2 linked regions of the Canis lupus familiaris genome follow. The protein of the gene in region 1 interacts with the protein of each later gene in a pairwise test. Links are inferred from orthologs where the notes say so. Each region holds a gene or a part of one and is shown in the gene's direction. Other genes may lie near its edges.

Region 1 (4,946 bases):
TACTTACTTTCCCCTTTACTTTCCCTTTCCCTTTCCCATTTACTTTCCCTTTCCTTCCCTTTCCCTTTCCCCTCCTCTCCTCTCCTCTCCTCCTCCTTTCTCCTTCTCCTTTGCACTTTGTTTAGTAGAATGCTTTTTCACCCAAATGACCTGCTCTCTCACTTCATTTAGGTCATCCCTCATTAGCTCATCTGATATAAGCAGCCCTCACGACTCTATTCTCTTATCTGGCTTTATTTATTTCTCCTTCTTGAACTTACTCATATATTTTGTCTGTCTGCCACGCTGGACTAGACTAAGCTGTAAACCTGTCTTCTCCATTTTAGTCACGGTGCTACCATTCTTCTAGTTGCTCAAACCAGATGCCTGGAATGTAGCTTTGAGTCCCCTCCCCCTTTCCTTTCCACTGCTGCTCACTCCTATTGCTAAAGTATATCTGAAACATTTCATTTCTTACACTCTCCATGTCTACTGTCCTTATCTGTGATCCCATCATCTCTTGAGTCTCCTCTCATTGATACTTGTTCTGCATAGGAGCCAGGGGGCAAGTCTTTTCTAAAAATGTGATCAAATTACTCCTTAAAGTCCTGCTATGTGTTCCTATTGTACTTTATCCCTTGCCTTACAAGGCCCTGTTTACCAATGCAGCAACACTACATGCCATTTATCCCTTGTTCACCTTTTTTTTTTCTTTGATTCATTTGTGCTCTCTATCCCCCTGCGTAGAATCCCTCTCTTCCTACTCTTTTGGTTAATTCCTCCCCCATTTTTAAGGACTCAGCTGAAATGTGACCTACCCAGAGATATATATGCCTTTACCACTGTATTAAAATAGTTTTTTCCAACCTCCATTATTTTCTGTCTCGGACCCTATTTGATTTCTTTGTATCATTTCATATTTGCTTGAAAGACACTTTTAAGAAAATGAAATGGTAAGTCACAGTCTGGGAGAAGGTATTTGGGTGGGATACATGCATTCGACAATGGGCTCATCTCCAGAATAAATAACTTGTAAATCTATAATATAAAGGAAACACAATCAGGCAAAAAGATGGGAACAAATGCCTCACAAAAGAAGATGAATGGCCAATAAACACATGCAAATATGCTCACGTTAACTGTTCGAGGAGTTAAAGTCAAAACCACATTGATAGACAATGATGGCAAATTGACCAATGTAGATCTACTGGATCTCTTCGTCTACCGCTAGGAATGCAAAACGGTACGTCTGTTTTTGAAAACGGGTGGCAGGTTTCTGTGGAGTTAAACATTCACTTACCATAGGACCTACACGCCCTGGGGGAAGCAGTTACCACCCATATACATTTTTCAAAACTCATGGAATCGTACACTTAAAATTTGCGCATTTTATTGAATCTAAACTTTGCTATAAAAGCAAAATGGGGGGAAAAACCCCAAAATGATAATCAGAAAAGTTCCCGGGGGGTTGTCCTCGGTCCTTCCGGAGGACCCAGAGGGACCCGGTCGCGGGCGCCTCCAGATTGGCAAGCCAGGCACTCGGAGGACGCGAAACGAAAGCTCGGGAAGAGTGCGGTTGGCCCGGGAGGCGGGGCAGCGGCCGCGCACCCCCACACCCCTGGCCCGCGGCCGCCAGTTGCGGTTTCGATTTCCCATCCGCAGTTGGGGTTCCCCGGCGGCGGCCCCGCCTCTCAGCGCTGGGTCTGCGTCCGCTGCCTGAGATCCCTACAAGCCCGGCACAGGCATTTAAGGGAGTGAGCGCGGGCGAGGTGCGGACGTCCCCGGGAGCTGAGCTGCAGAATGACGGCCGAGGAGCGGCGAAACCTGCACGCCTTCCGGGACTATGTCATCAAGACTCTGGACCCTGCCTACATCCTGAGCTACATGGCCCCCTGGTTTAAGGATGGTGAGTGGTCCCCAGGGACGCCTGCCCCTCGGAGCAAGGAAACCACTCAGGACTCTGTTCTCCCCTTTTAATCAACACAAGTAGCATGCTAGGAACGCGGATGTTGAGGCAGGATCCTCAGGATTGTAGCCTGGAGTTCGCCAGGACAGTCTGAGGAGCCTTTAGGGGTCCAGATGGAGAAACAGCCCCAGAGAAGGGAAATGACTTGTGTAGGTGTGCACCTCTATTTAGGTTCAAGAAGGGGGAAACAAACCATTGTCCATTTTACTTTCTCTAATGCTTAATGTCTACCGTGTCTTCAGCTTTGTAGTGACAATAGAGATTCAGGAGTGAGATGTAGGCCCCTCTTTAAAATACTTTGCAGCCCAAGATTTTGTGGGAGTGGAGACTGCTGAGTATGTAAATGATTGCAAAATGCTTCAAGGTAATTGACAGTGACTTTGACAGTGACTCTTGCCGAGTCTTCTCTGCACTTAGGAATTACTGGAAGCTTGCCAGGGGTAAGAGACTCTGGGCTGAATGGCTGCCGGCTTCATTTCAGGTGTTTCTGTCTAGATTTTGGAGACACCTGATGATAGATCTTTGTTAATTTGAATCCAGGTGCACTGCACTGGAGAGGAACAGAGGCTTTGAGGAAAGAGGAAAAAGGAGGTGATGCCTGGAAGGAGCTGAAAGGAGAAAGGGGGATCTGGTCACTCCTTTTCAGGCTCCAAGTGCGGAAATATCAAGTGGCAGGACATGTGAAGGCAACCATTTGGTCATTGCCCCAGACATGGAGTTAGTGTACAAAGTCATGTGACCACCAGCAGTTTGGTGGATAGTTTTCTGTTCCTCGGCCTTGTGTGTGTGTGTGTGTGTGTGTGTGTGTGTGTGTGTGTTTAGCTCCTTTTGCCTTTTCTCCCATATTTCATACTGTCTAAGCAAAAACCTGGAAAGAGGACCATGAAAGTATTTCTAACTCTGCTTTCTGAGTCTGGTGTAATTAAAGATGCCATGGAGTGGTCCCATCTCCTTTATTGTGGGTATACTTTTTCCACACATTGTTAAGAAACTCTCTTTTTAAAGGATTGCCCTAGAATATGTTCCCAGACTTCCCACCAAACTAGAAGAAACTTCTAGAGAGGATGCAGGGTGGAGGGAAGGTAGGTTGATGAAGAATGAGCATCATCTGCCTGAACAGAGACTTTGCTGCCTTCTTGCAGTTCCTTCCATTGCTGGGATTTGTTACAATCGCCATCCCCATTTTTTTTTTTTAAAGATTTTATTTATTCGTGAGAGAGAGAGGTAGAGACATAGGCAGAGGAAGAAGCAGGCTCCTTGCAGGGAGCCGGATGTGGGACTCGATCCCCAGCCCAGATCCTGGGATTGTGCCCTGAGCTGAAGGCAGACATTCAACTACTGAGCCACCCAGGTGTCCCTTGCCATCCCTATTTGAGAAAGTCTGACAACCCTTTTCAGGTTTTTTTTTTTTTTCTTCAGTGATTAGTGGTTCTGCAGTTTGATGAGCCACTCTTCTATTTGTAGATGAGGTGCAGTATATTCAGGCTGAGAAGAACAATAAAGGCACGATGGAGGCTGCCTCACTTTTTCTTAAGTGCCTATTGGAGCTCCAAGAAGAAGGCTGGTTCCGTGGCTTTTTGGATGCCCTTGGTCATGCAGGTTAGTTCATTCTTCTTACTCATAAATCAGGATATTAACTGACTGTTTCAGAATGCGGTAAAAGTGAAATGCTATTAATTTTGAGCTATCCTCATGTGCTTCATGTTGCTTAATCTGAGGCAATGTAAAGATTACTTTCAATCACGATATAATTTGCCTACCTGAAATATCCAAAGGAATCTGCAGATTGTTGGGAGAGTTTAACAAGCTTATTAGATATAAGATTAGTATACAAAAATTAATTGCATTTCTGCACCATACACAAAAACAAACTCAAAATGGATTAAAAACTTAAATGTAAGACCTGAAACCATAAAATTCCTAGAAGAAAACATAGGCAGTGATATCTTTGACATCAGCCATAGAAACATTTTTTTACATTGATCTACTTTAGCAAGAGAAATAAAGCAAAATTAAACTATTGGAACTACATCAAATAAAAAGCTTTTGCACAGCAAAGGAAATCATCAACAAAATAAGACAACCTACTGATTGGGAGAAGATATTTGCAAATGTATCCAATTAGGGGTTAATATCCAAAATATATGAAGAACTTATACAACTCAACACCAAAAAGTCAAACAATCTTTTTTTTTTTTTTTAAAGATTATTTATTTATTTATTCATGAGAGGCACAGAGACAGAGAGAGAGGCAGAGACACAGGCAGAGGGAGAAGTAGGCTCCATGCAGGGAGCCTGATGTGGGACTCAATTCCGGGTCTCCAGAATCAGGCCCTGGACTGAAGGTGGTGCTAAACCACTGGGGCTGCCCCAAAGTCAAACAATCTGATTAAAAAATTGGCAGAATGTTAAGCAACTACAAAATACTAAATAAAAAGTTTGGCAAGCCCCCCCCCCCCCCAAAAAACAAAAGACAGAAGACACGAATAGACATTTTTCCGAAGAAGACCAACAGACACGTGGAAAGATGCTCAGCATCACTAACCATCAGGGAAATGAAAATGAGAACCAAAATGAGATGTCACCTCACACCTGTCAGAATGGCCAAAATCAAAAGCACAAGAAATAATAAATGTTGGTGAGGATGTGCAGAAAAAAGAATCCTAATGCATTGTTGGTGGGAATGCAAACTAATGCAGCCACTGTGGAAAACAGTATGGAGTTTCTCCAAATATTAAAAACAAAATTACCATATGGTCCCATAATTCCACTACTGGGTATTTATCCAAAGAGAATGAAAATACTAATTTAAAGGGATATAGGAACCCTATGTCTATTGCAGTATTATTTACAATAACCAAGTTATGGAAACAACCCAAATGTCCATCCACAGATAAATGGATAAAGATGTGCTATATATATACAATGGAATATTACTCAGTCATAAAAAAGAATGAGATCTTGCCATTTGCAACAGCATGGATGGATCTAGAGGGTATAA
Region 2 (4,381 bases), on another chromosome or scaffold:
CATTCCTAGTGTTCCCTTGACATCACTATATCTTTGTCCCCCAGGGGTCTCAAACCACCCCCCAGCCCCAGCGGAGCCACAGTTAGTTCCTGCTGAGGTTCCAGGGCCCCCTGCACCTGCTGTGGCCCCCAGTACACCCACCAACGGCTACAGAGAGGAGGAGCCAAGTTTCCCCTTGCCTGTCCAGGACACCCAGCTACCAGAGTCCCTGGAAGAGGTGCGTCCTCACAGTCTACTTTGGGCCCCCTGCTTTTGTGTCTCCATCACAAATCATGCCTAATCTCTGCTCAGAACCTCAGGGCTTCCTCAATGGAGATATGCTCCAAATTGGCTTTCAGACTGCTGACCAGGGCTTCACCCTGTGGCAGCCCCCAACCCTCTTATCAACCTGCTGTGAGGTCACAGTTTTGAGGTCTTTGCACTGGTTCATGTGATGAGATGTTGAACTAGATTGAGGGACCGGGGAACCATGAGTGGAGGGATACTGGGAAAGCTGGAAGTAAGGGGATGGATGGAGTTATCATTGCCAGCAAAGTCAAATTCAGGGGGAAAATGACTGATTCTATCTGGATGTGATAAGCGGACAATGGGGTGTGTCCAGGAAACACCAGACCATGGACTTGAAGTCCAAGAAAGGGGTCTGTGCAGCAGCCTCAGAGAGGGAGACCTTTTATGGGGCAGGCAGATGAATAGAGTCTCCCCATGGGATGGTTTGTGTTTTCTATGAGGTAGGTTTCTGTAGGCAGAGGGTCTGTCAAGGACCAAAGCCAGGGCCAGGGGCTTCCTTGGTTTCTGTGCTTTTTGGCACGGGCTGAGGCCTGTAGGAGATGCCCATTTCTGGGAGAAGCAACTGCCTCATTTCTATTTTCCCTCTTGCAGAGTTCAAAGAAAGTCCCCCAGATGCCCCATTCTGGGGCTGTGAGAAGGCCAGCTGGCCCCCGGGAGCCCTCCTCTGACATGGCAGCTGTCAACCCTCTGACTGCCAGTGGGCATCAGGAGCAGGATACAGGGCTGGGCGGTGCCCATATAGCAGGTATGTGTGGAATCTGGAGTTACAGGCCTCTCTGACCTCCCAGTGAGGGTGAAGACTAGAGTTGCCCCTCTGGCTTCCATGGACAGGAGGCAAGGGTGGGAATAAAGAGGATATACCTCAGGGAGCAACCCGAATCCTTAGAGGGCATATCAGTATTTTGCATGTCACAAACCATTCCAGCATCTAGTAGCTTAAGATAGGACTATTTCCCTCCTGATTCTGTGGGTCAGCAATTTGGGCTGGCTCAGAGTAGTTCTTCAGATCTTGGCTAAATTCCCTCTTGTGTACACACTGGCACACATGCACACTCTGCGTAAGCCTTTTGGCTGGGGCCCCTTGGTTTGCTTCAGTGAGTCCTCATCCTTCACCAGATAAGTCTCTTTCATTGCAGCTGAGCAGAATTCTGAGAGAGCAGGCTCCTGGGACAAAGGCTCAGAACTGACAGCTTTCCTCCTACCTTATTCTGTGGGCCAGAGCAAAGCACGAGGCTAGCAGAGTCAAGGAGTAGGGTGCCAGACCCCATCTCACATTGCAGAAGGTGTGGATATAGCTAGAGGAAAAGGATTAGGGACTCTTCCAAGGGGACTGACACTGCAGGGGTTCTCCAGGACCTGTAGGATGGTGCAGAAGGCCGGGGCCATCTCCTGGCAGGGGAACCCTTAGGCACTGCCCTGCCCCAAGAGGGGCTCTAGCTGCCAGTGAACCACTAAAGCCTCTCAGCCCCCAGAGGAAGTATTATTTTCATCAGGTGAGGGCCCGGACCCCCACACTAGATCTTTGCACCCCCACCTTGGGAATATAGAGCTGTCCACTCTGACCTCTCAGGCTGGCATGTCTCTGCATCGTTATTTCCTAAACTGTGTTCTGTGGAGCACTATGGTCTTCCCTGCCTTTGGTGTCCCTGGGATAGCCACAAGGCACGGGAACAGTTAAAGGCTCAGAGAAGCCATCTTAGCGCCCTATGCCCATGTCACTCCAAAAACCTTTCCCAAGCACCCATTTATGCTGTTCAGTGTCAGCTTGCAGTAGAACACCTTTCAGGAAATGGGAGCTTCAGGGGACTGAAGTGGACCAGGGAGGCAGAGGGCACTTAGATATCAGGACATGCATGGACATGGGTCCTGAAAGATTCTGTGGTGTTAGGTTTTGGGGGCAGTGAGGTGGTACATCCGAATTACTCCAGGCCTTTGTCAGCGTTAGAGCCTGACATGTGTGTTCTCAGAGGTTCCATGGGTAATCATCATCCTCTGCTCCCTCCTGTTTGCCCTAGTTCAGGCCCTCCTCTCAAGGTTGGCTTTGTTCCTGCCCCCCTTTCCCTCGAGTCCTTAGGCCTCCTGGGAGATTTGCACATACTTGGGGCTGGGGGGCCCTCTGGTGCCATATGACTACTGTGAACTCTTCTACTAGAGCCACCTCGCCCTGGTCCAGGATGGCTCCTGCTGGTCGGGGAGGGGAAGGTGGCAGAGGCGGGAGCATCCAAAATTGTACCAAGCTAGGGAGTAGACGCAGGAGGAAAGGGGGGGGGGGTGTTCCAGACAGGAGAAGAAAGAGCGGAGGATAATTAACGATCTGCAAACTCCTAGATGCTGTCAGGGGAAAGGATCATTTCACTCTCATGAGAGAATAGATGCAGTTTTAGGTCCCGAACTAAGGATAGAGAGGACCACAGGTGCACCTGCAGTAGTTGGACCGTTGGGCCTGGGGTACAATGACCAGAGGGACTCCACGGCTGGGAGGTTGGGAGGCCTGGATGCAGTAGGTACTTGAGCTAGGCTATAGAGATTTTTCTTCAGCCTTCTGATCCCAAGGCGACTGTGATTTTAGGGTAACGGTCCTGTGGTTTGTGTTTCCCCTTTTATTTTGCCACCTGTAGGCACTGCCTCCGGCCTCACGTCAGCCCGTGGGCCTGTGTCTCCAACTGTCTCCTTCAAACCCCTGAGCCGCTCCATCCCCAGGGCCAGCCGTTTGCCTGCACCCTCAGCATTAGCTCTGTCCACCGGCACTACCTCCTCTTCCCCTGGCTCGGCCTCTGCAGGGGTTGCTGGCGACCATGGTGAGGCCACCATCTGCTCCACCATGGCAGGGGTGTCCACTGGTGCACTGACCACCAGCACAGCACCCTCCAAGGTGCCTACCCACTCAACATTTGACAGGATGGCGCCTTCCAAGTTGCCTGCCAGCTCAAAACCCTCTGGTACAATGCCCACTACGAGTCTACCACCGTCCAAACTGCCCATCAACTCAACACGTGCGGGCACAGTGCCCCCCAGAGTGCCTGCTGGCCTGGTGCCTGACCACAAGATGTCCGCAAGCACAGTGCCCAGCAAGGGGCCTGCCAACACAGTGCCCAGCATCAGCAGCAACGTACCCTCAGGGGTGAGTCTCTCCCTTCTAGCAGTGATCCAGGCTTTCCCCCCAAGCCCTGTTCTTGGACCCTTTCTAGTCTCCATTCAGCCTCTAGCCTGGGCTGTTCCATGGCTTCTTCTTGAGGGTGTAGGGAGAGAGCTGAGATCTAGCCTTGTCCAGACACCACACCACCACCTTTAGAATACTAATAATCATTAGAGCTCTTAAGTGCTGCTGCCTCAGGAGGGCTGGGTGGCCTGTTTAGAGCTTGCAGCTCCTGGTTAAACTCAGCAGTGCTGTTTGGCAGACGGAACAGTGATGGGTAGAGCAGGGTGGCCTGTCTGCCTCAGTGCCTTGATTTTTGCCCCTAGGATATCCAGTCTGCCCTTCTGTGACCAGGGCTTTACAGACAGCAGTCTTAAGCTGGATTAAAGCAGCCTGAGGGAGCCACACTGACCCAGCCCCCCACAGCTGCCCCCTCTGGGCCTGCACCTGAGGCCTTGCTGCTGCGGTCTGACAGAGGAACCAAGTCCGTTGGACCCTTCAGGCACATGGCCAGGCCTCTGACCCTGTGGCTGCTCCATAGCCCTCAGCCTAGGCAAAATGTCACAGAAGGATGATGCCACAGCCACCCAGGGCCCAGGGAAGGGCATGAGGGTGAGCTCACAGGCAGGCCGGGGAGTAGGGAGAGGGGTGCCTTGAAGGAAGTCACTACTGATACCTTTGCAGAGCCTCAGGCCCCGCCCCCCCTTCCCCACTGCCCTCCTGCAGAATCAATGGGTTGAGTCTCCAAGAGGGTGTGGCTTCCTCACTGGACTATGGGCTGGAAATTAGAGGGTTGGGATTCTAGTTCACACTCTGGCCAGGAATGGAGTCATCTCCAGTCCCTTCTAGCCCCTCCTTTCTTTCCCAGGAGACTGCAACGGCTCCAGTACCCACAGACATTTCCACCAGAGACAGCTTGCCCGGCCTAGACCGTAGCTCTGCTGGCTGGGGCTCTGA

What was found.
Region 2: the proteins of DDX58 (region 1) and MAVS interact in binary tests that used the Homo sapiens proteins (3 or more experiments, as listed by UniProt). The link is inferred for Canis lupus familiaris from reciprocal best matches to the Homo sapiens genes RIGI and MAVS.

The regions. Positions count from the first base shown.
Region 1 is NC_049232.1:50,025,681-50,030,626, reverse strand, and holds the start of DDX58 (antiviral innate immune response receptor RIG-I), read left to right. Parts: upstream 1-1,611; 5' UTR 1,612-1,779; coding exon 1,780-1,885; intron 1,886-3,409; coding exon 3,410-3,544; intron 3,545-4,946.
Region 2 is NC_049245.1:17,965,883-17,970,263, reverse strand, and holds part of MAVS (mitochondrial antiviral-signaling protein), read left to right. Parts: intron 1-44; coding exon 45-217; intron 218-879; coding exon 880-1,033; intron 1,034-2,906; coding exon 2,907-3,409; intron 3,410-4,292; coding exon 4,293-4,381.